Oryzias latipes: one gene and its partners. The protein of the gene in region 1 interacts with the protein of each later gene in a pairwise test. Links are inferred from orthologs where the notes say so. Each region holds a gene or a part of one and is shown on either strand. Other genes may lie near its edges. The genes, in order: lmo4, itsn1, nfyc, rbbp8 and grainyhead-like protein 2 homolog.

Evidence for each region.
Region 2: the proteins of lmo4 (region 1) and itsn1 interact in binary tests that used the Homo sapiens proteins (3 or more experiments, as listed by UniProt). The link is inferred for Oryzias latipes from reciprocal best matches to the Homo sapiens genes LMO4 and ITSN1.
Region 3: the proteins of lmo4 (region 1) and nfyc interact in binary tests that used the Homo sapiens proteins (3 or more experiments, as listed by UniProt). The link is inferred for Oryzias latipes from reciprocal best matches to the Homo sapiens genes LMO4 and NFYC.
Region 4: the proteins of lmo4 (region 1) and rbbp8 interact in binary tests that used the Homo sapiens proteins (3 or more experiments, as listed by UniProt). The link is inferred for Oryzias latipes from reciprocal best matches to the Homo sapiens genes LMO4 and RBBP8.
Region 5: the proteins of lmo4 (region 1) and grainyhead-like protein 2 homolog interact in binary tests that used the Homo sapiens proteins (3 or more experiments, as listed by UniProt). The two-hybrid records come from large-scale screens. The link is inferred for Oryzias latipes from reciprocal best matches to the Homo sapiens genes LMO4 and GRHL2.

What each region holds. Positions count from the first base shown.
Region 1 is NC_019862.2:4,585,735-4,589,757, reverse strand, and holds the start of lmo4 (LIM domain transcription factor LMO4), read right to left. Parts: upstream 2,801-4,023; 5' UTR 2,356-2,800; intron 1,388-2,355; 5' UTR 1,353-1,387; intron 1,265-1,352; 5' UTR 1,260-1,264; coding exon 1,024-1,259; intron 1-1,023. UniProt on the Homo sapiens protein: Transcription cofactor. Plays a role in establishing motor neuron identity, in concert with MNX1, acting, at least in part, to disrupt LDB1-LHX3 complexes thereby negatively modulating interneuron genes in motor neurons.
Region 2 is NC_019873.2:615,974-619,487, forward strand, and holds part of itsn1 (intersectin-1), read left to right. Parts: intron 1-41; coding exon 42-163; intron 164-1,841; coding exon 1,842-1,965; intron 1,966-3,514. UniProt on the Homo sapiens protein: Adapter protein that provides a link between the endocytic membrane traffic and the actin assembly machinery. Acts as a guanine nucleotide exchange factor (GEF) for CDC42, and thereby stimulates actin nucleation mediated by WASL and the ARP2/3 complex.
Region 3 is NC_019869.2:22,272,676-22,276,844, forward strand, and holds the start of nfyc (nuclear transcription factor Y subunit gamma), read left to right. Parts: upstream 1-1,367; 5' UTR 1,368-1,496; intron 1,497-1,862; exon of another isoform or gene 1,863-1,882; intron 1,883-4,030; exon of another isoform or gene 4,031-4,144; intron 4,145-4,169. UniProt on the Homo sapiens protein: Component of the sequence-specific heterotrimeric transcription factor (NF-Y) which specifically recognizes a 5'-CCAAT-3' box motif found in the promoters of its target genes.
Region 4 is NC_019878.2:11,812,789-11,816,866, forward strand, and holds the start of rbbp8 (DNA endonuclease RBBP8), read left to right. Parts: upstream 1-1,271; 5' UTR 1,272-1,399; intron 1,400-1,604; 5' UTR 1,605-1,628; coding exon 1,629-1,728; intron 1,729-2,546; coding exon 2,547-2,589; intron 2,590-2,689; coding exon 2,690-2,785; intron 2,786-2,962; coding exon 2,963-3,054; intron 3,055-3,284; coding exon 3,285-3,357; intron 3,358-4,078. UniProt on the Homo sapiens protein: Endonuclease that cooperates with the MRE11-RAD50-NBN (MRN) complex in DNA-end resection, the first step of double-strand break (DSB) repair through the homologous recombination (HR) pathway.
Region 5 is NC_019869.2:7,142,547-7,146,060, reverse strand, and holds part of grainyhead-like protein 2 homolog, read left to right. Parts: intron 1-1,668; coding exon 1,669-1,827; intron 1,828-3,514. UniProt on the Homo sapiens protein: Transcription factor playing an important role in primary neurulation and in epithelial development. Binds directly to the consensus DNA sequence 5'-AACCGGTT-3' acting as an activator and repressor on distinct target genes.

The DNA of each region.
Region 1 (4,023 bases):
GTGGCTCTCATTCATTTCGGACACGTCATTGGTAGCAGAAACAAGCCAGGGACCAGATCTCATTAGATAAAACCCATCAGGACTGAAGGAAATGGAGGGGGGACTATAATTAAAGCATTTAATTGTGTAGAGTCTCTCTCAGATGTTTTCTCTGCCTCCCTCTCCCAGCCATACTTCAGCGTTTTTATCTCTGCACAGATCTCCTGCCTCCATAATCTGCGCTTTAGCTCTTTCACCAAGCATGCTCTCAATACAAGTGGAAAGGTGTATCCACACTTCCTCCCGCTCCAATTTTAATTACGTTATAGTACCATTATGAATGAAGTACCCCATTGACTTCCCACTGCTTTATATGAGGTGGGAGTAAGAGCGCACGGGCGCACTTTAGATCTGGAATCATCTGTGCAGATCTGCTGGCTGCACATCCAAAAACAACTCAAATGGGCGAGATTTTGTACCTTTAAGCAGAAACATTCCCATTCAGCTGAACTGAATGACAGGAGAGGCCAAAGCAGCTGATGAACACTCTTCCTGCTCCCAATAGGGTTCTTTTTTTAAACTTCAACAAGAGAAATACATCTCTTTTCCTGATTGAATTTACATAAAGTCCTGCACGCCATGAGGAAGACTTGTAATATTAGTGTCTGGGATACATAAGCAAAGGGCATTTTTTTTCTTCATTTCGGTGCAACTTTTTTATTTCAATAAAAGTCAACATAACTTCATTTATAATCCAAATGACCCTCGTCTACAAAGGAGGCAGACAGTTGACATAAAAGGGCTGCATCTGATTGGTCAAAGGGCTCCATTTAATTTGTTAAGCGGCCATAAGATTGTTTATGTGTGAACATTTAAAAAGTAACCATTTATCCCTAATTTAGGCTGCCTGTTGCCATATGCGTATAGGTTGATATTGCGATGAGGATACATTTGTGATGCAGGCCTATCTAAATGTCTCACCTACAGAGTGCGTTTGTGTCCTTGGACAGCCCCACAGAAACGGCCCTAACCCCCCCTTCTCACCTGATGTAATCGTTTCTGCAGAGGATCATGCCGCTTTTCGTGTAGCACGACGTGCCGATTTCGCCCAGCTGGGCCTGGCAGCAGGAGCACTTCAGGCAGCGGCTGTGCCAGTAGGTGTCCATGGTGTAGAGGAGGAAGCGGTCTGCGATTTTGCCCCCGCAGCCCGCACACCGCTTCCAGGACAGGGAACCGGCGCCCACCGCCGGCGGCTGGCTGCTGCCTCCAGGATTCACCATGGTCTCTGAAAAAACAAAACAAAAACAAACATCACGTGTTGATACCAGGTATGCAACATCATCCTAGCAGATAATGGCAGAGTTTTACACCACCTTTGTGGAGATTGTTAACTTTGCAGCTGCAGACTCTGTGACCCCCCAGCAAAGAGAAGGAGCTGATCTCATTACACGAACAAGCCATGTTCTGCTATGAGTCATTTAGTGAATTAATCTGCCCTTGATCTCTGCCTGTGTGGCCCCTGCGCGGGGGCATCGCTGCTGATGAATGTCTGTTAACTGATAACACTGTGGGGCCAAAGGAACAATTCTGCTGCCTCTAAAGTGAAAGCAGTGCCTCTGACTGACTGACTGAGCAGCACAGCCGCTCCTGCTTGTTTACCAACACCTGATGCCCCGCGGGCTTCCACCGACCTGCCCGCCATAACTTCACCGCCAAACGGCCGTTCCCTTCCAGACGTTAATACGTGCTCGGACCCCCCACCCCCATCCACCCTCCTCCACCACCATCACCACCACTCCGGGGCAGCAGCGACGCCGGGATATAAAGCCAAATCTTTGTTGAAAGGCAGGTAGGCCAATTAGGGAAGGAGAAGGCGCGGGGAGGGGGCGCGCGCGCGCACAGACAGAGCAGCATTCAGTAAGCCCATTAGCGATGGCTCTTAGGGACGAACCGCGGCGAACCTCCGCGCTGATTACATCTAAAAGCAGATGAAAAAAAAAAAAAAAACACAACAAAACAAAAAGCCGACCTGAAAGTGACTCCACGCACGAACCGGGCGAGCCATCGTCAAGTTTCCAACAGGCGGGGCAGGAGGAGGAGGAGGGGAGGCTTTTTAGATTAAATGGGTAAGTAATTACACGGTCAGGCAATTTGGGCACAGAGACTAAGACATGGAAATGGAAGGGAGAAAAGGCGAGTGCTAAAGGTCCTGAAAGCTGCTTTTCAACCGGAAAATGTAAAGATTATTGCGGGATAATTACACGGCCATGGGTTCAGTGAAAAAACAAGAGTCTCGGGTATCAAATATCACAGCTATCTTCAAAAGAAAACACGCTTTCAGAGGCAAAGTCTAGACTTTGACACACATATACTCACTTCGTTGGAGTTTAATGGCTGAAGTTCGGGTCTGAAGATTGCGTAGGAGAACGGGTAAGCTCCAGCAGTCCCCAAAAAGTCAAGGAAAAAATGTTTTATTTAAAAAAATAAATAAATAAAAAAGTGCGCCGTCGGTGTCCAGCCCCGCGCGGCAGCGAGCTCGCGACTCGTACAGCGGAGCAAATGGAGTTATCAGATAGTATTTCCAGCGGACGGTTCCTGCTTTTCTGAAAGCGATTTGTGGCCGATGACGGACCCAAAGCTGTCCATCGCAGGATGATTAGGTCTCCGAGACAGTAAAGTTCCCCAAAAGAGCAGAGAAGAGCGGCACAAACCGAGATTATGACGCGAATAACGGAGCACAGGAAATACGACGGTGGATCCGCGGGCAGCTTGTTCTACATGTGTCTCTGACAGGAAGAAACCTCCAGTAAAAAACCCTCTTTAGCCGCGTGACGACAAAGCCCTCTCAGCCAATCCGCTGGCAGCTCATTTAAGAACACCGAATCCAGCCAATCAGAGCAGAGAGAGACTTAGCAAGAGACGCACACAAACAATGTTGTTACACTGGCAAAGACAGGACCCCCCCCCCCCCCCCCAACACTTCTTAAAAACTGAATTTAATGTTTCAATACCCAAAATCTAAAATAGTCAAATTCAGAATCAATTTGAACGTCATTTCTTAATCTCGAAATCACTGCCTGGCTGTGATTAGAGCATCATGGGAAGTCTCTGATTATCTGCATCTCCCTGTAGCATCAGCTCCAAGCTGCATGGCAACATCCAGTAAACTGCATTCACCTCACGTCACAGTTTAATTAGATGACATTCAATAACTACTTAGTTTACTGAGAGTGACTCCAACCTCTGGGAACTGGCGGGACAACAGCTGCGCGGTGGCGCCATCGTCTGCCACCCACAGTAATTGCAGGGAGACTTTCTGCTTTGAAAACCCCATTAAAGTCCACAGGTCATTGATTTCAACACTGAATCTGATTTGTCTGAGGGTTTTCTTTACATGTATTTATCTTAACATTAATATCATGGCAAGCATGAGAGATTAATCATGAACTACATGCGAGAAATGTGTTGCATGTGTCACAAGTTGACATGAAAATATGGCTCTTTTTATTGTATTTTTATTTTAGTTTTTTACTTTAGAAACAAGAAAAATAAAATATAATGCAAAAGAGAAGTTATCTTCAAAGAGATTAACCAGGTTTAAGAGTTTTACATGACAAAAAAAAAGAAAAAAATCCATTTGGATATGATACCCCTGGCTTTGGATGTGTAAAGATGATCTTTTTCTTGACTTTAATTGTTTAATTATTCTCGCAGCTCTGAGGAGATTGCTTTGCATCACACTGATTTCCCTTTTGGCAAAGCCAGCGCTGATCCACCTTGGTTTGAGCCGCATTCTCTTGACACTCTCATCAAGCTTGCCTCTTACCAGAACAAAAACATCCACAGAAGATTGCAAAGAATATCTTTTCCACCAAGGAATGATTAATTGATATAAATGATTAAAACAGAGGGAAATTAGAAAATGAATTTGAAAAGAGGCCTCACAGGAAAAGCTTTGTTTGTTCCAGTCCTCTTTTTAATGAGCTTTTCATAACTGGGCAGGAGAAATTACTTCTTGCAAAAATAATTATTGGAAGTTGGAGT
Region 2 (3,514 bases), on another chromosome or scaffold:
TTGGAACTCATCAGTCACGATGTTCCTGCTTGTTCTTTCAGAGATTGCTCAGGTGATCGCCCCCTACACTGCAACAGGGCCAGAGCAGCTGACACTGGCTCCGGGACAGCTGATCCTCATTAGGAAGAAGAATCCAGGGGGTTGGTGGGAGGGTGAGCTGCAGGTAACTAGACTGAACTTCAGTAGAGACGTTTCTGTTACAAGGGTACACTCCATACGTATTAGGATGAACACAATAGCAGAAAAAAGCTTAGAGGTTATAATGATATGAAAAACTCTGTTCAGGAAGGACCTTCTCCACCATGACATGCCGTCAACTTGTTCTTCAGAGCTGCTGGTCTTAACAGGTTTATTCAGAAAACATTTCTTCTCCCTGAACAGCAAATGCTACTTTAAGGACAATGAAGTCACATTCTGAACAGTGAGTACAGATGGTTTAAAAAGGAGTCACTCACTGGCCACTTTATCAGGTCCACCTTGCTAGGACCGGGTTGGACCCCCTTTTGCCTTCAGAACTGCCTTAATCCTTGGTGGCAGAGATTCAATCATTGTCATGTTCAAGAAACCAGTCTGAGATGATTCCAGACTAGCGCTTTATCCGTCTGGATGTAGCCATCAGAAGATGGGAGACTGTGGTCAGAAAGGGATGGACATGGTCAGCAACAATACTGGAGGCTGTGGTGTTGGAACCATCCTCAATTGGTACTAAGAGCCTCAAAGAGACCCAAGAAAATATCTCCCACACCATGATACTACCACCACCACCAGCCCTATATGCTTATACAAGGCAGGATGGCTCCATGCTTTTATGTTGTTGACGCCAATTTCTGACCCTACAATCCAAACGTTGCAACAGAAATGGAGACTCATCAGACCAGAAACAGTTTTTCCAATCTTCTGTGGTCCAGTTTTGGTGAGTCTGTGTGAATTGTAGCCTCAGTTTCCTGTTCTTAGCTGACAGGAGTGGCATCCAGTTTGGTCTTTTGCTGCTTTAGTCCATCTGCTTCAAGGTTGGAGGTGTTGTGTGTTCAGAGATGCTCTTCTGGAGACCTCAGTAACCAGTTCTTCTTTAAGTTCCTGTTGTCTTTCTATCAGCTGGAACCGGTCTGGCCATTCCCCTCTGACCTCTGGCATCAACAAGGCCTTTCCGCCCACTGAACTGCCGCTCACTGGCCACATTCAGTCACTTCAGTCACCTTTTTTCCCCAGTCTGAGGCTCAGTTTGAACTGCAGCAGACTGTCTTGACCGTGACTAAATGCCTAAATGTAATGAGTTCTGCTGCTGCTGTGTGATTGGCTGATTAGAAATGGCCTTAATGAGAAGTTGGACAGGTGTGCCGGTGAGTGTATGTCTAAACGGAGAAACCTTCCCTCAAGTCTGAAACATATTTTGTCATTAAGCTACTATTCTGTTTGAAATCTCAGCCAAAGAAAGTGGGGTGTAATTTACAACTGACACAAATAAACAAAGCCCCATCCACTCAGTCTATGGTACTTCAGCTGATGATTCTGACGTGAATGTCTATATTCTTATGTGCTGAAGTGTGCTCATCACTTCAAAGCATCAGCTTTTCAACAATAGCAACATCTGCAGACCACACACACACACACACACAGACACACAGCAGATAGGACCATAACAGATACTGGAATGATACATGAAAAATCTCCAATACCACCAAAAGTCCAGCTGCTCTGAAGAATTCGTAAAGGTTTTTTTTTTTTTTTCAAAAGACAACGATTAGGTTTGTAATGATTAAAACAAACTGTCCACATTGCAGCTTTGGTTGTTGACGTGCATTTAATAAACAACCACAATGACAAATCTTCTCTGGGTGCAGGCTCGAGGGAAAAAGAGACAGATAGGCTGGTTTCCTGCCAATTATGTCAAGCTGCTGAGCCCCAGCACCAGCAAGACCACTCCCACTGAGCCAAATGCCTCCAAACTGGCCCCTCCCACCACAGGTACACATTCTGACAGTTACAGGGTTTAGCCCTGCATAACCCATTGTTTGACTCAAAAAGAAAGTGGATTTGTGTGAACACCGCTGACATGTAGCTACAGTTAAAACATGCCAAACACTTTACATAAAACACAATTATTTGTCCACCTCAGTTTCTTTAAGAAACCATTAACCTAAAATGAAATTACCTGAAACCGACAGCTAAAAATATTTGGAAAAATTAACAAAAAATCACTTTGATTTGATTTCTTGTTCAACTGATTCAACAAATTAACAGTCTTGGTCAAAAAGGATTTTTTTAAAACAGTTTTTAAATAAAAGATGGGTAACATGCAGGTGTTTCCTTAGCATAACAAGTGTTCTCAAGCCTGCAATCAGTTTGCTGGTCTTACAACAACCTCTTAGCTGTTTGGTAACATATTGTGTATCACACCAGGAAAAGACCACTGACAGACTAGTTTGTTTGGATATTTAAGAGAAAATCTTGAATGTGATAGACCTCCCAAAGACATTCAAGGTCACAGCTGAGCTGAAATTAAAGATCTCTAAATGTGTGCTATGATGTTCTAAAGCAGTGGTCCCAAACACTTTTGAGGAACTTTGTGACAACCTGCACACAATAAAACAAAAATAATGTTAACATACATTATTTCTGTTTTATTTTCTGATTCTGAAAGGAGTTTTATTTTGGAAAACCACCAGATTCTGTCCCCCACGTTTGTCGTTTGACTTACTATTGACACATGCCAAGACGTTGGTCACAGATCTCAGATATATTTGCTACCTTCTTGAAGCGACTGCTCTGATCGCTAACTAAGAGCCCACAGCTAGCAAAGTTAACAAATCCAAATGTCTTAAGAGAGTTTCTCTGGGCAGAAGAGAGCAAGTGAGGAACTTGAAGAAGTGCTTTCAAATTCAAAGAAAAAAATCATCTGCATTTAACATAAGACTTAATTAAATTATGGATTTTTTGCAAGACTTGTTTCCATACCCCAAGCTTATTCCTCTGCACAATATGCAGCAACCAACTCCCTTATGTTACAAATATGCTGCTAATAAAGTTGCAAATAAAAGTTTTATAATGGTATCATTTTATTTTGTAGTTTTTGTCCCTCCAAACCTTAAAAGTCAGATGAGGCTAAAGTTGGTGTTCAGTGGCTAGCAGGTTAAAGGTAAATCTAGGTTTGGCACAAAACCTAGACTACAAAGAAAGTTTAAACCGACTACATTGTACAGAGAACAAAGATGCTGATTTATGGAAACTTGCCAAAAGGTCATTTAAGAATTTTCCAACAGCAAAGCTAAGTAAAGAAGGTACCTGTTAAGAAACTTTACCACAGATAGGACTGCTCTATATTAAAGAGAAATCAGTATTTCAAGATTTAATAAAAAAAACTAGATATAAAGCATTATCTGAGTTACTGCAAGTGTGAATGCTGTAAGCAGAATGTGGCTGCTAAAGAGCCTGAGGCCCCTAGGGAAGTGGGGAAAAGGCAGTTTTCCCAAGCTCTGTGCAGATCCTGGGAACAAAGAGGACAAACTGGTGTGAG
Region 3 (4,169 bases), on another chromosome or scaffold:
CTTTGCCAGTTTAACTTAAATGTATTTAGTATTCAGTTTATTTTTGCTTTAATGATTTGTCACAATTTTTTTCTATGTTGTTGTCACAATAAACTATCTTCTACCACTGTCTTTTTTTTGTTAAATTACTAAGTAAAAAGAAAATAAATGTATTTTTGACTTTTAAATTATGTGTGCATTTTGGCCTAAACCTAATTAAAAAATGATTGCTCGACACATTTGTGTTTTTTAGTCAAAAAAATGTTACCTTGACATTCCATCCTATTTTATAGATGGGATTTATTATGCTGCTTCAGTTTGAGATTGCCAGATATTTTAGTTTATTGAGCAGGGATGTAATGAACTGCAAAAGTACTTTCAGATAATAGCTCAGAATTATCCGTTTTATGTTTTGTTGATTAAAAAGAAAAGAAAAACGAGGAAAAATACTAAATTTATGCATAGAAAACTAGTTGGACAGCAAGAGAAAAAAGTCAAAGTTTTGTAAAATTAGCATGACATTGAGCAATCATAAATTTAATGATGCAGTGTATTTGAGCAGTTAAATCAGAAAATGCAAATCATTGAAAAATTATAAAAAGATTCACCATCAAAAAGAAAAGTATTTTTCAAATTCATAAAGTGAAGAGTAAAACTTAATTTAATTTTGCCATTTATGCATTCTTAAATATAAAAGCTTCCTACTGTTGTACTGAAAACACATGTCATCAAAAGTATCCAGATGAAATTAAATGTGTGATAAAAATCGTGCTTGTAAAAAAACAGTACAAGTAAGTCTAGATACCCACAGACACATTTAAATGAAAACATTTGCATCCATGTAATCACATCTGTTTCTAATATGCATGCAGTATAGAAATATGAATTTATTACTCATCTGCATGATAGTTGTATATCTTTATAAAAGTTTTTGCTTGGTTGGTTTGGTTATAAATGTATTCTGTTCCACACTGGCTCCTCAACTGGAAATAAACTTCTTTGTTTGTGGACATTTTTAAATATTTATATACTTTCCCTTGTTAAGATTACACAAAAACTATGATAAACACTAAAAAAATATAGTTTCATCTATTTAAATACATTGAATTAAAATAATTTAATTGTTGACTTTATAAAATATTAGATTATTTATAAACCTAATTAAAAAAAACTATGTCTTATTAACGTTATTTTTCTTTGGTCAGCAATAAAATTACATAATTTGTAGCTTATCACATTAGTGTTACCATATGTTCAAAAAGACATAGTTTCATATTTTTAAGATTGACATTTTTTCCTGCATTTCCTGTTTGATTTGCATAATTTATTTGGCATTTATAGTTTTTTTTTGCATTTTATAGTATCAGGATGATGCCGTCGTGACCTATACGTCATCGCGTTCGTACGTTCATCCCTTTCCGGTATGAGGTAGCAGCCATCTTGTTTCCCTTTGCAAGCTAAATAAAATAAATAATACGCCGCACTGGACTTCACCGCGAAGCCGCAAAAGAGCATAAGTAAGAAATTAAATTTCATTGATGTGTTTGCCGTGTACACTCGTGATAGGTCGAAATTGCGGCAATTAATTGGCCTTTTTTCCATTTGCTGTTCTTGACCAATAGACGATTGTTTTGGGTGATGAACACAGGCGCCATTTCCCTCCCCGCTCTCTGAGGCGCTTATTGGTGGCCCGCTGAAAGTATCATCGGCGGTTGGGAAACCACTGCTTTGTGTCCGCCATTTTGGTTCTCATTACCATTCGTTTTGTTGAACACTGGCTATTCCTATCAGACCCCGAATGGCGTCAGTTTCAGAACGAGCTTAGCCTTACAAACCTTGATTGGTGGAATCTAGTCCGAGGTTTGATTGGTCTGAAGGACAGACCCAAACGTTGTCTTTATTGGTTAGTCCGTTTCTTCCAAGATTTGCAAACTTTCACATGATGACAGAACTAGTTTGCGATTTAGTAATTAATATTACGACGAACTGCACGCACATTTGTAAGACTAGCCGTCTACAAGGTGCTAACACTAACTTCACTATCGGTACCGAGAAGGCACGGATGACCATTCTAAAGTTCACCATCGGCGCTTTGTTTGCCCTCTTTCCCCGTTAACTGTTTTGGCAGCCGAGATGTTTAAGCTAACACTACATCACATTTAATATTTCCAATATTTTAGCGGCCGTGGTTTAAATTTATTGCAGCGTTGTTGGGACTAAAACCTAGCGTTGTCTCCCGCCTATTTAATTTGCTTTGAGGTACAATTTCCATGAAGTTACCATCGTTTCAAAGGATAACAGGAATCTTATGAGAATATTATGTCTGAAATTCTAAGCTAACATATCTGACACTCGCTGGGTGGGTAAAATTGTGAAATTGCACTTCTAAAATGTTTGCAGGAATGCTAAAAAAATATGTCAGAGGCACAATTTATCTAAAATAAATAAAAAACTTTTTGAAATACTATAATAACTTTTTGCTAGGTGCAGCGGTGCTGCATTTTACGTAATAAATACCCACTTTGATCTAAATTATTTGAGGCTTTTTGATGTTTTGTTATCAGCGTAAATACAAATAAAAAACGGTCTTTCCTGTAGTTTAAGCTAACTTTACCAGTTGAGTCCAGGTTGTTATGTATTTGCATGTTTGTGGCTGAATGGCTAACCGCGAGGGTTTCTGTGTTTATCAAACTCACCGTCTGTTTTGGTGTATGCTTATCTCGAAAAAGCATCAACGAAAGCAAAAATGTTTCTGGTATGGCTGCAGAGGTCATGGGAAGGTTTAATGTGTTCTGTGACCTTGGCATATGTCATGACTTTTTTTTTTTTTTTGGTTCATCTACATAGAAGAAACTTGCTAATACATTTGATATCTATTGTTTTTTTAATTGGTTTTTTTTACATCTCGACTCCATGTTTAACTGGCTGCTGGAAGTACCTTTCCCTGTCTTCATGCTCCATGTGAAACTACAAAAAGGAACATTTAGCTCTGTTTCTTTTGAGTCTGTCATGTTCCCTCTTCCTCCCTTCATTTATTTCACCCCTCCTATTCTGAAACAATTCTCCTCTCTGTCCTTCTCCATCCTTCCAGTTCCCCTCCCCCTCAGGTTTTCATTGATGGTGCAGGTTTGCTTTCTATTCTGTTCTTCAAAACCTTAAGTTGCAGCAAAGTACAGCATTAGCCTTGTACTTTTGTACTTTTCTAGAGTTTATTTTCTGTTTTACATAGAGTTCATGAACACGTTTCTAGTACTAGGAAACCTAGTACCTAGCTAATATGGCATCAACTATCATGAGTTCTGCACATGAGCAGTGGAATCCTTCTTTGGTCTTTCAAAGTAAATGTTTTTGAGTCGAACGTGCGCACATTTAACCAGTGTGGAGCGCACAAGAAGGACATTGTCAGACATTGCTGGTGTGGTTTTGTGATGACGTATGAATTGTGGAAGTTGCTGTAAGCATAGTCTGAAGGGTCAAGACAACAATGTGTGTGTTTGTTAGCTCTCACTCGTAATCTTCGTCGTGTTTAACCACAAATAGAGGAATGCCACCATCTTCCACAGCTGCTCTCTCATCAGCTGATACATTTTTATTGATAAAATAATTCCGTTATTTTTCGTCCAGTTTTTACTTTTCAAACTTTGGGCTTTTAGGCTCTGTCAAGTTATTTATTTATTTTTAAATATTCCTTAATTTCAGCTTTTAAATGTATGTCCACGCAGAATATCAAAATATTTTTGCCGAACAGTGTTGTGAATTTTCTTAATACTTGCAGGTAAACCAGCAACAATAATAACAATAAGCAAATAAGAATAAATAAGGAGGCAAGGACAAAATGTGCATTAGTGTGGTTGTGCGTGTGAGCCTGAGTACACACATGAGACAAGGAGGCTGACTAGTATGCTTTTGTACTTTAAATCATGTGGATGCAACATGCGGCATTGATTCTGGCACTTCTCTCTCTCAGCCAGTGAGGTGTAGCCTGGCCGCCTGCATCACTCCGCAGCCAGCCTGTAGCAGCGGCTCGAAGGCGGAGCGTAGGGAGACATTTAGTTTGACATTGTAAATAAGCAGAGAGCAGTTGTCAGAGAGCAGCCCGTGGATTCTTTCCCATATGACCAGCGGGAGAAGAGGTAGACGCCGCTTGAGAACAAACCATGAAGAGGCAAGCCTTCACTAGCTCTTCCTCA
Region 4 (4,078 bases), on another chromosome or scaffold:
CACTCTCTCCTACCACCACTTTGCAGTCAATAACCTCTCTCAAATGACCTCGTCTACATAGGATGTAGTCCACCTGAGTACTCCTACCTCCACTTCTGTATGTCACTCTATGTTCCTCTCTCTTCTGGAAGTAAGTGTTGACTACAGCCATTTCCATCCTCTTCGCAAAGTCCACCACCATCTGTCCCTCCAGATTCCTTTCCTTCACACCAAACCTGCCCATCACCTCCTCATCACCTCTGTTGCCCTCACCAACATGCCCATTAAAGTCTGCTCCAATAACAACTCTCTCTCCTCTGGGGATACTCTCTATGACCTCATCCAACTCACTCCAGAATCTCTCCTTCACTTCTAACTCACAGCCAACCTGTGGCGCATACCCACTGACTACATTCACCATCACCCCTTCGATTTCTAACTTTAAGCTCATCATCCTGTCTGAGACTCTTTTCACCTCTAGAACACTGTTTACAAACTCCCCCTTCAGAATCACTCCTACCCCGTTTCTCTTCCTATCAACACCATGATAGAACAGTTTGTATCCTCCTCCAATACTACGTGCCTTGCTGCCCTTCCACCTTGTCTCCTGCACACACAGTACATCTACCTTCCTTCTCTCCATCATGTCTGCCAGCTCTCTGCCTTTCCCTGTCATTGTGCCAACGTTAAGAGTCCCTATTCTCAAACCTATGTTCCTGCCTTTTCCCTTCTCTCTCTGGCCACGGGCCCTTCTGCCTCCCCTCTTTCTTCGACCAACAGTAGTCAAATTTCCACCGACACCCTGTAGGTTAACAGCATCGGTGGCGGTCGTTGTTAACCCGGGCCTCGACCGATCCGGTATGTCTAAAGTGTTGTGGATGATTCGCATGGTTATTTTGGCAATTTTTACGCCGGATGCCCTTCCTGACGCAACCCTCTCTATTTATCCGGGCTTGGGACCGGCACAGAGGCAACTGGCTTGCAACCCCTGTGGCTAGCCATTATTAACTCTGTAAAGGCCAATAAAGAATTGAAATGGAATAAATGTTTTCTCCTTAAAACTAAATTATATATTTTTATTGCTGTGGGTAAAACATATTTGTGAAATTTGGCAACATATTTATTTGAATAGTTAAAAAAATAGATTAAGTCCTCATACATCAAACCGAAGTGGTAAAAATAGTTTCCACTAAATTTGATGTTCATCATCAGCGATTCTTTTAACCACCACTCTTTGAACAGCAGGAGGCGCTCGAGCGTCCAGTCTGCTACATTTTCAGGGCCACAAAGAAGAGTTCCCAGCATGCACTTCTTCGGCGCGGAAATTTCAATGGATTTTCAATGCGAGATGAAAGTCTGAGGAGAGAGCTCACGAAGGAACAAGTCTGCCGTGTTTCGGCGTTCAACCAGCTCAGTTTTTGTAAGTACGTTTGTGAAAAGCTGCGTTTAAATTCACCGCGTTGTTTGGAACAAAATAGTGGGTTTGAAAAACTAATACTTGTAAAACTTCTACTGAACTACTAGAAGTTCTATAAATACACTTTTCTATGTACTGGAGGCTGACATGGCGTTTAATAACAAATAAATATTCACGTCCATCTTATTTTTTTCTTTAAATTATGTGGGCTGTTTGCGGAGAGGTGTGAAAGATGAGTGGATCAGGTGACAGCAGTGGGACGATCAAAGCAGCTGATCCCTTTGAGGATCTGTGGCGGCAGCTGGGAGAGTGTCATCATCACGTGACTGGAGGTAAACGACTGCTGGTTATCGGGCAAGGAGTGACACTGATAAACAAGGAATGGATCAGGAAACAAGTATGGATTTTCTTTAGAAAAGACAATTCTAGCTGTATAAAAACACAAGAACAGATTAAGCAGTGTAGTTTTTTTAATTTTTATTTATTTTATTGACCAATTGCAACATCCAGAACAAAAAAAAATGCAACAATTATGTACATATAATGTACATTACAATTCTGAATACAGAAAAAACGTGTTACATCCTTAGGAAGATTTTAATTATTAACAATAATTACAAAAAGATTAAGCAGTGTAGTTTTTTTTTAGATTAGCAGTGTAGTGCAGATCCGGCTTTTACCGGCCATGACGTCATCTGCGTGAGCCTGAAATCTCCTGCATTTTTAAAACAAAGTTAAAAAACAAACACTAAATTTTATTTTCAGTGTTATTACAATATGTTTTCAATAAAAATAATTATTAGTGTACAAATAAATGGGTGATTTTTACCTGTACTTTAGCAGAAATGTACACTTCACCTATAAAACTGTAGAAGAAGCATTGTTTGCTTTTGTTCAGAGCTAAAGGAAGGATAAACTAAAACACACGGAGCCAGAATTGAATCAAAAGGTAACAAGTCCTTAGTAAATGAGTAAAAATGTGATGCTGGTTTGTTTGCATTCAATCAATGGCATAAAAATGCAAACAAAAAAAAAAGGAATTGGCAACTGAAAGCATTACATGCAATTTGGTAATTTACTGCAGAAACTCTTAAACAAAATAAGAATAAATAATAATAACTTTTTCTATGGGAATAACTTTTTCCCATAGAGCTGGAAGCAAAGGTGAGCCGGCTGAAAAAGGACCGCTGCCTGTAAGTCCTGATGGATTTTTGTTTTAAGGAACGCCAATAATCATAACGCATTCCTTCATAGTTAAGGAATGGCAGTCAAAGTGACGTTTGTTTGTTGCAGAGATGCTCAGAGACTTGAGGTGTTTTACAACCGTAACCAGCATCTGAAGGAGGAGAACAAAACCCTGCACGACACCATCCACCTCCTAGAGGAAAGGTAACATCCTCCAGCGTTTGTCACACTCTGGACCAACAGAACCGGCTACGTTTGATCATCCGGTTTTGCTCAATCAACAGAGGGTGCTCCGGTCTGGGTGTTGGGGTCACCAAAGGGGGGGTAGTTTGCTAAAGAGAGGCAAGAAAAACAAAAGTTTTGTTGTTCTTTGTTTTTCAGGCTCAGAGCAGGAGAGTGCGACCGTTGTGTTGTCTTGGAGGAAAAGCTGAAGAGCAGCCTGGATCAGAATCTCAGACTTCTTGATGAACTGAGTGAGTCCCAGAAGGAGCTCCTCTCAAAAATAAAAACACGTGCACCATCTTTTTAAAATAAAATCAAAAGAGGATGTGGGAGGTGGATCGGCTTTCAGTTGCAGCCAATCATGTCTGGAGGGGAAACGGTTGCTGCGGCTTTTCCCTTTTTGTTTGATGAAGCGCTGATGGAGGTGGAGGACAGCCGTCTTGGAATGATGGTGCTGAGAAACTTTTAACTTCTTATTCAGGAATTGAAAGAAACAACCTGCAGGATGAAAACAGGAAACTCCGTGCTGAGATACAAAAGCTGAAAGCATCGTGGTGAGTTTTCTGTAAATCTTCTTCCTTTCAGGGAAAATGTTGCCTCCAACCTTCCCAAAACGTACCTAAATTTGCATTTACCTAGTACCCAGTCAAAATGACTTTTGGGCATTTGGGGCCAAAGTCTCTTATGGGTCCAAAAAAAAGTAACAAACCAAAACACACGTGTGTGGAAGATGTAGATTTTGAATGGCGTTAGCGTAGCAAGTTTGCCAAAATGGCGTTTCCCTGTTGCTCACATAGTTTTTACTGGAATATTGTGAAAATACACGAGTCGACAGCTCAGGCTGAACAAAAACAATGTCTGATTGAACATATTAGGAATGCGAGGGTGGTTAACAAAAAACCTCTGTTGCTAAGGAAATCCCAAAAAATTATTTTTGCCTGTTCTTCTAAACGTGACTCAAACATGTTCGTCACCCCCAGGCGACAAAAAATTAAAATGGTTGCTATGGAGGCAAAACCAACCGAAGGCTCCTTTTTTTTTTTTAGTTTTCATGAATTTGTTATGTGGCTCTGACTGGGGTGGCAGAGGGAGAGTAAGGGGGGGGGGGGGGGGGTAGCAGCCGCTCAGCCATCATAGGATGGCGAGGGCAGAGGCGTGTAGCGTCTGCTGCTCACGCCTTCATTTTATTTCAATATCTAAAAATGTTTTCCTCATTAATGGTAACATTTAAATAAATAAAAATATTTTCTCTAAAATTTATCACAGAAACGTGTC
Region 5 (3,514 bases), on another chromosome or scaffold:
CAATCTTCTGTTAAAATGCTTGGATACAGCCAGCGGCACCACACATAGAAGCATATGTGTCTCATATTTCAAAATAAAAGTCTATACCGGAAATGATTTTTGTATTTTCACATTAAAGCTGCGTTTGTTGACTCAAAAATTAAATTAAAAAATCAATCCGCAAAATGGCTTTTTATTTTTCAACACCGCTTATTCTGTCACTTAATTAAAATGATGAAGAAAATGGTATTAGACATTTCATTTTCAAAAAGTTCTCTAGTAAATGTGTAGTTAAATTCAATTAGAAATATTTAATTTGACAATTAAAATGGTTTAACAGAAATGCTTTTTCATTTTCACGCTGCCTGTCACAAACTAGGGTTGTGTCCAAATTCCTTCACTAATCACTACATGGTGCACGCTATAGTACGTTCACCATTTTATAGTGTTGTCCAAATCTACAATTCCAAAATTGAGTGCCCTGGAAATTTCCCAGAAGTCTCTGTGAAAAACCAGTGTGCATCGATGCTCACTAGAATATGCTCAGCGAATATAAACCACTATGCATTGCGTCTGAACAATTTTTGCCAAAAAAATGAATTTAAATATATTTTTTTGATAAACCATCAACGTTTTTATCTTCAGAAGACAGTGGATTCATAAATAATTGTCATAAAACGCTCATATTAATTAAATTTCAACTTTGTGAAATCGATGACGCCTTATCCGCCGTATAAGAAAAAGTAGTGAGCGTGGTGTCTGACTTGCTTTCATAATCCAGGGCACTACATAGTGCCGGACTAGTTGTTAGGGATTAAGGTAGAAATTCGGACACATTTAAAAATAAAAATTGGGGTGGGGGCTGCAGAACTTCATGTTTCCAAGACAAAATAATATTGTTACCATGACATTGAAAATAAAATATTTTTAATTATATATTGGTTAATGACTTACTGCAATTAGTCTGTTTTATCATTTCATCATCTTTAGGGACCTATGTGCCCCCCCCCCCCCCCCCCCTCAGTCTGGGCCCCTAGAATCAGCCACCTTTACCCCCCCTCCCCAGGAAACAGCACTCTGTGAACAGTTAGCATGATGTCCGTCCGTGTGAAGGCTGTGAAGACTCTCTCCTGTAACAGTGTGGCTTTCTGACTCAGACTGAGTGGCTGTTTAAGGGCTTAGGAAACCTTTGCCGGTGTTTGAGTTGATTATCTGATCAGGGTGTGACACTGTGAGGCTCCAAAACTGTTTTTTTTACATCCAGATTCCCTCCCTAACTCCTAAAAGACCATTTAGTGCGGGACAATCCAAGCCCTGGATTTGAATGTAATCTGGACACCAGGCTCACTACTTTTCTTTTTCTGAAACAGCAGATATGATGTCACCTATTTGCCAAAGTAAAAGCCTAATAAATATAAGCATTTTACAGAGAACATTGTTGTCTATATGAGCATTAATGCACATTGTTTTTTTATTGTTTTGCAAAGATTTCTGGGGAATTTCTAGGGAAGTATTAGTTTTATATCAAATACCAGTTTCACTTCTGTAATCAATGAAACATTTTTAAACTTTAACAAGATTCAGGTTTTTACTAAAGTGAACCTGAACATAATCCTTAGACTTAAAATGCAGCTGCATGTAAAGACTCATTTTAAACCTTTTTTTCCTTCCTTTTTCTCTCTTTTGAAGATCTTCATCACAGTCAACTGTCTGAGCACAGACTTCTCCTCTCAGAAAGGGGTCAAGGGTCTCCCGCTCATGATCCAGATCGACACCTACAGTTACAACAACCGCAGCAACAAGCCCCTGCATAGGGCCTACTCGCAGATCAAGGTCTTCTGTGACAAGGTGATGAAAGGTTCCTGCAAAAGAGTCCAGAAAACATCATTTCTCTCCAGAGACGAGAAAGACTGAAATCCACATGTTTGTAGTTTATGGCCACATAACTCACTGTAGGAGAGCTGAAGAAGGACCAATGTGGGATCGGAAGCAGACAGAAAAATAAAATAAAAGTCAGTTTTCCAGGATGGGAGGCCTCCATCTTTAATTGTTCAAAGAGATTCCAAAAATCCTGAATTTTAACAACCTATTGTTAAACTATCACTTTCACGTCAGACACTTTTGTCACCTGTAAAGAGTTTATCTTCAACACAGATCTTCTTTCTCTTTCGGCTTTTCCCATCAGGGGTCGCCACAGCGAATCATCCTTTTCCACCTCACTCTATCATGGACATCTTCTACCCTAACATTAGCCAACTTCATGTCCTCTGTTAAGACATCCATGTATCTCCTCTTTGGCCGTCCTCTTGCCCTCCTGCCAGGCAGCTCCATCTCCAACATCCTTCTACCAATATATCCACTATCCCTCCTCTGAACATGTCCAAACCATCTCAGTCTGGCTTCTCTGACTTTGTCGCTGACACAGGCAACATGAGCCGTCCCTCTGATGTACTCGTTCCTTATCCTGTCTAACCTGGTCACTCCTAAGGAGAACCTCAACATCTTCATCTCCGCTACCTCCATCTCAGCCTCTTGTCTCTGTCTCACTGCTACCGTCTCTAACCCATAGAGCAGAGCTGGTCTCACCACTGTCTTGTACACCTTTCCTTTGAGTCTTGCTGGCACTCTTCTGTCACACAACACTCCTGACACTTTCCTCCAACCGCTCCAACCTGCCTGCACTCGCCTCTTCACCTCTTTTCCACACTCCCCATCACACTGAACTGTTGACCCCAAGTACTTAAACTCCTGCACCTTCTTCACCTCAGCCCCCTGTAACCTAACGCTTCTACCTTGATCCCTCTCGTTCAGACACATGTATTCTGTCTTACTACGACTGACCTTCATACCTCTTCTTTCCAGAGCAAACCTCCACCTCTCTAGCTGTTCCTCCACCTGCTCTCTACTCTCACTGCAAATTACAATGTCATCCGCAAACATCATTGTCCAGGGAGATTCCTGTCTTACCTCATCTGTCAGCCTGTCCATCAGCATAGCAAACAAAAAAGGACTCAAAGCTGATCCTTGGTGTAGTCCCACCTCCACCTTGAACTCCTCTGTCTGACCTACAGCACATCTCACCACCGTCATACTTCTCTCATACATGTCCTGAACTACTCTGACATACTTTTCTGCCACTCCAGACGACCTCATACAGTACCACAGCTCCTCCCTCGGCACCCTGTCATACGCCTTCTCTAAATCTACGAACACACAATGCAGCTCCTTCTGACCTTCTCTGTACTTTTCCATCAACATTCTCAAAGCAAAAATGGGATCAGTGGTGCTCTTACGGGGCATGAAACCATACTGCTGCTCACAAATCTCCACCTTCTTCCTAAGCCTGGCTTCCACTACTCTTTCCCACAGCTTCATTGTGTGGCTCATCAACTTTATTCCTCTATAGTTGCTGCAGTTCTGCGTGTCACCCTTGTTCTTAAAGATTGGGACCAGAACGCTTCTCCTCCATTCCTCAGGCATCTTCTCACTCTCTAAAATCCTATTGAACAACCTTGTTAGAAATTCCACTGCTGTC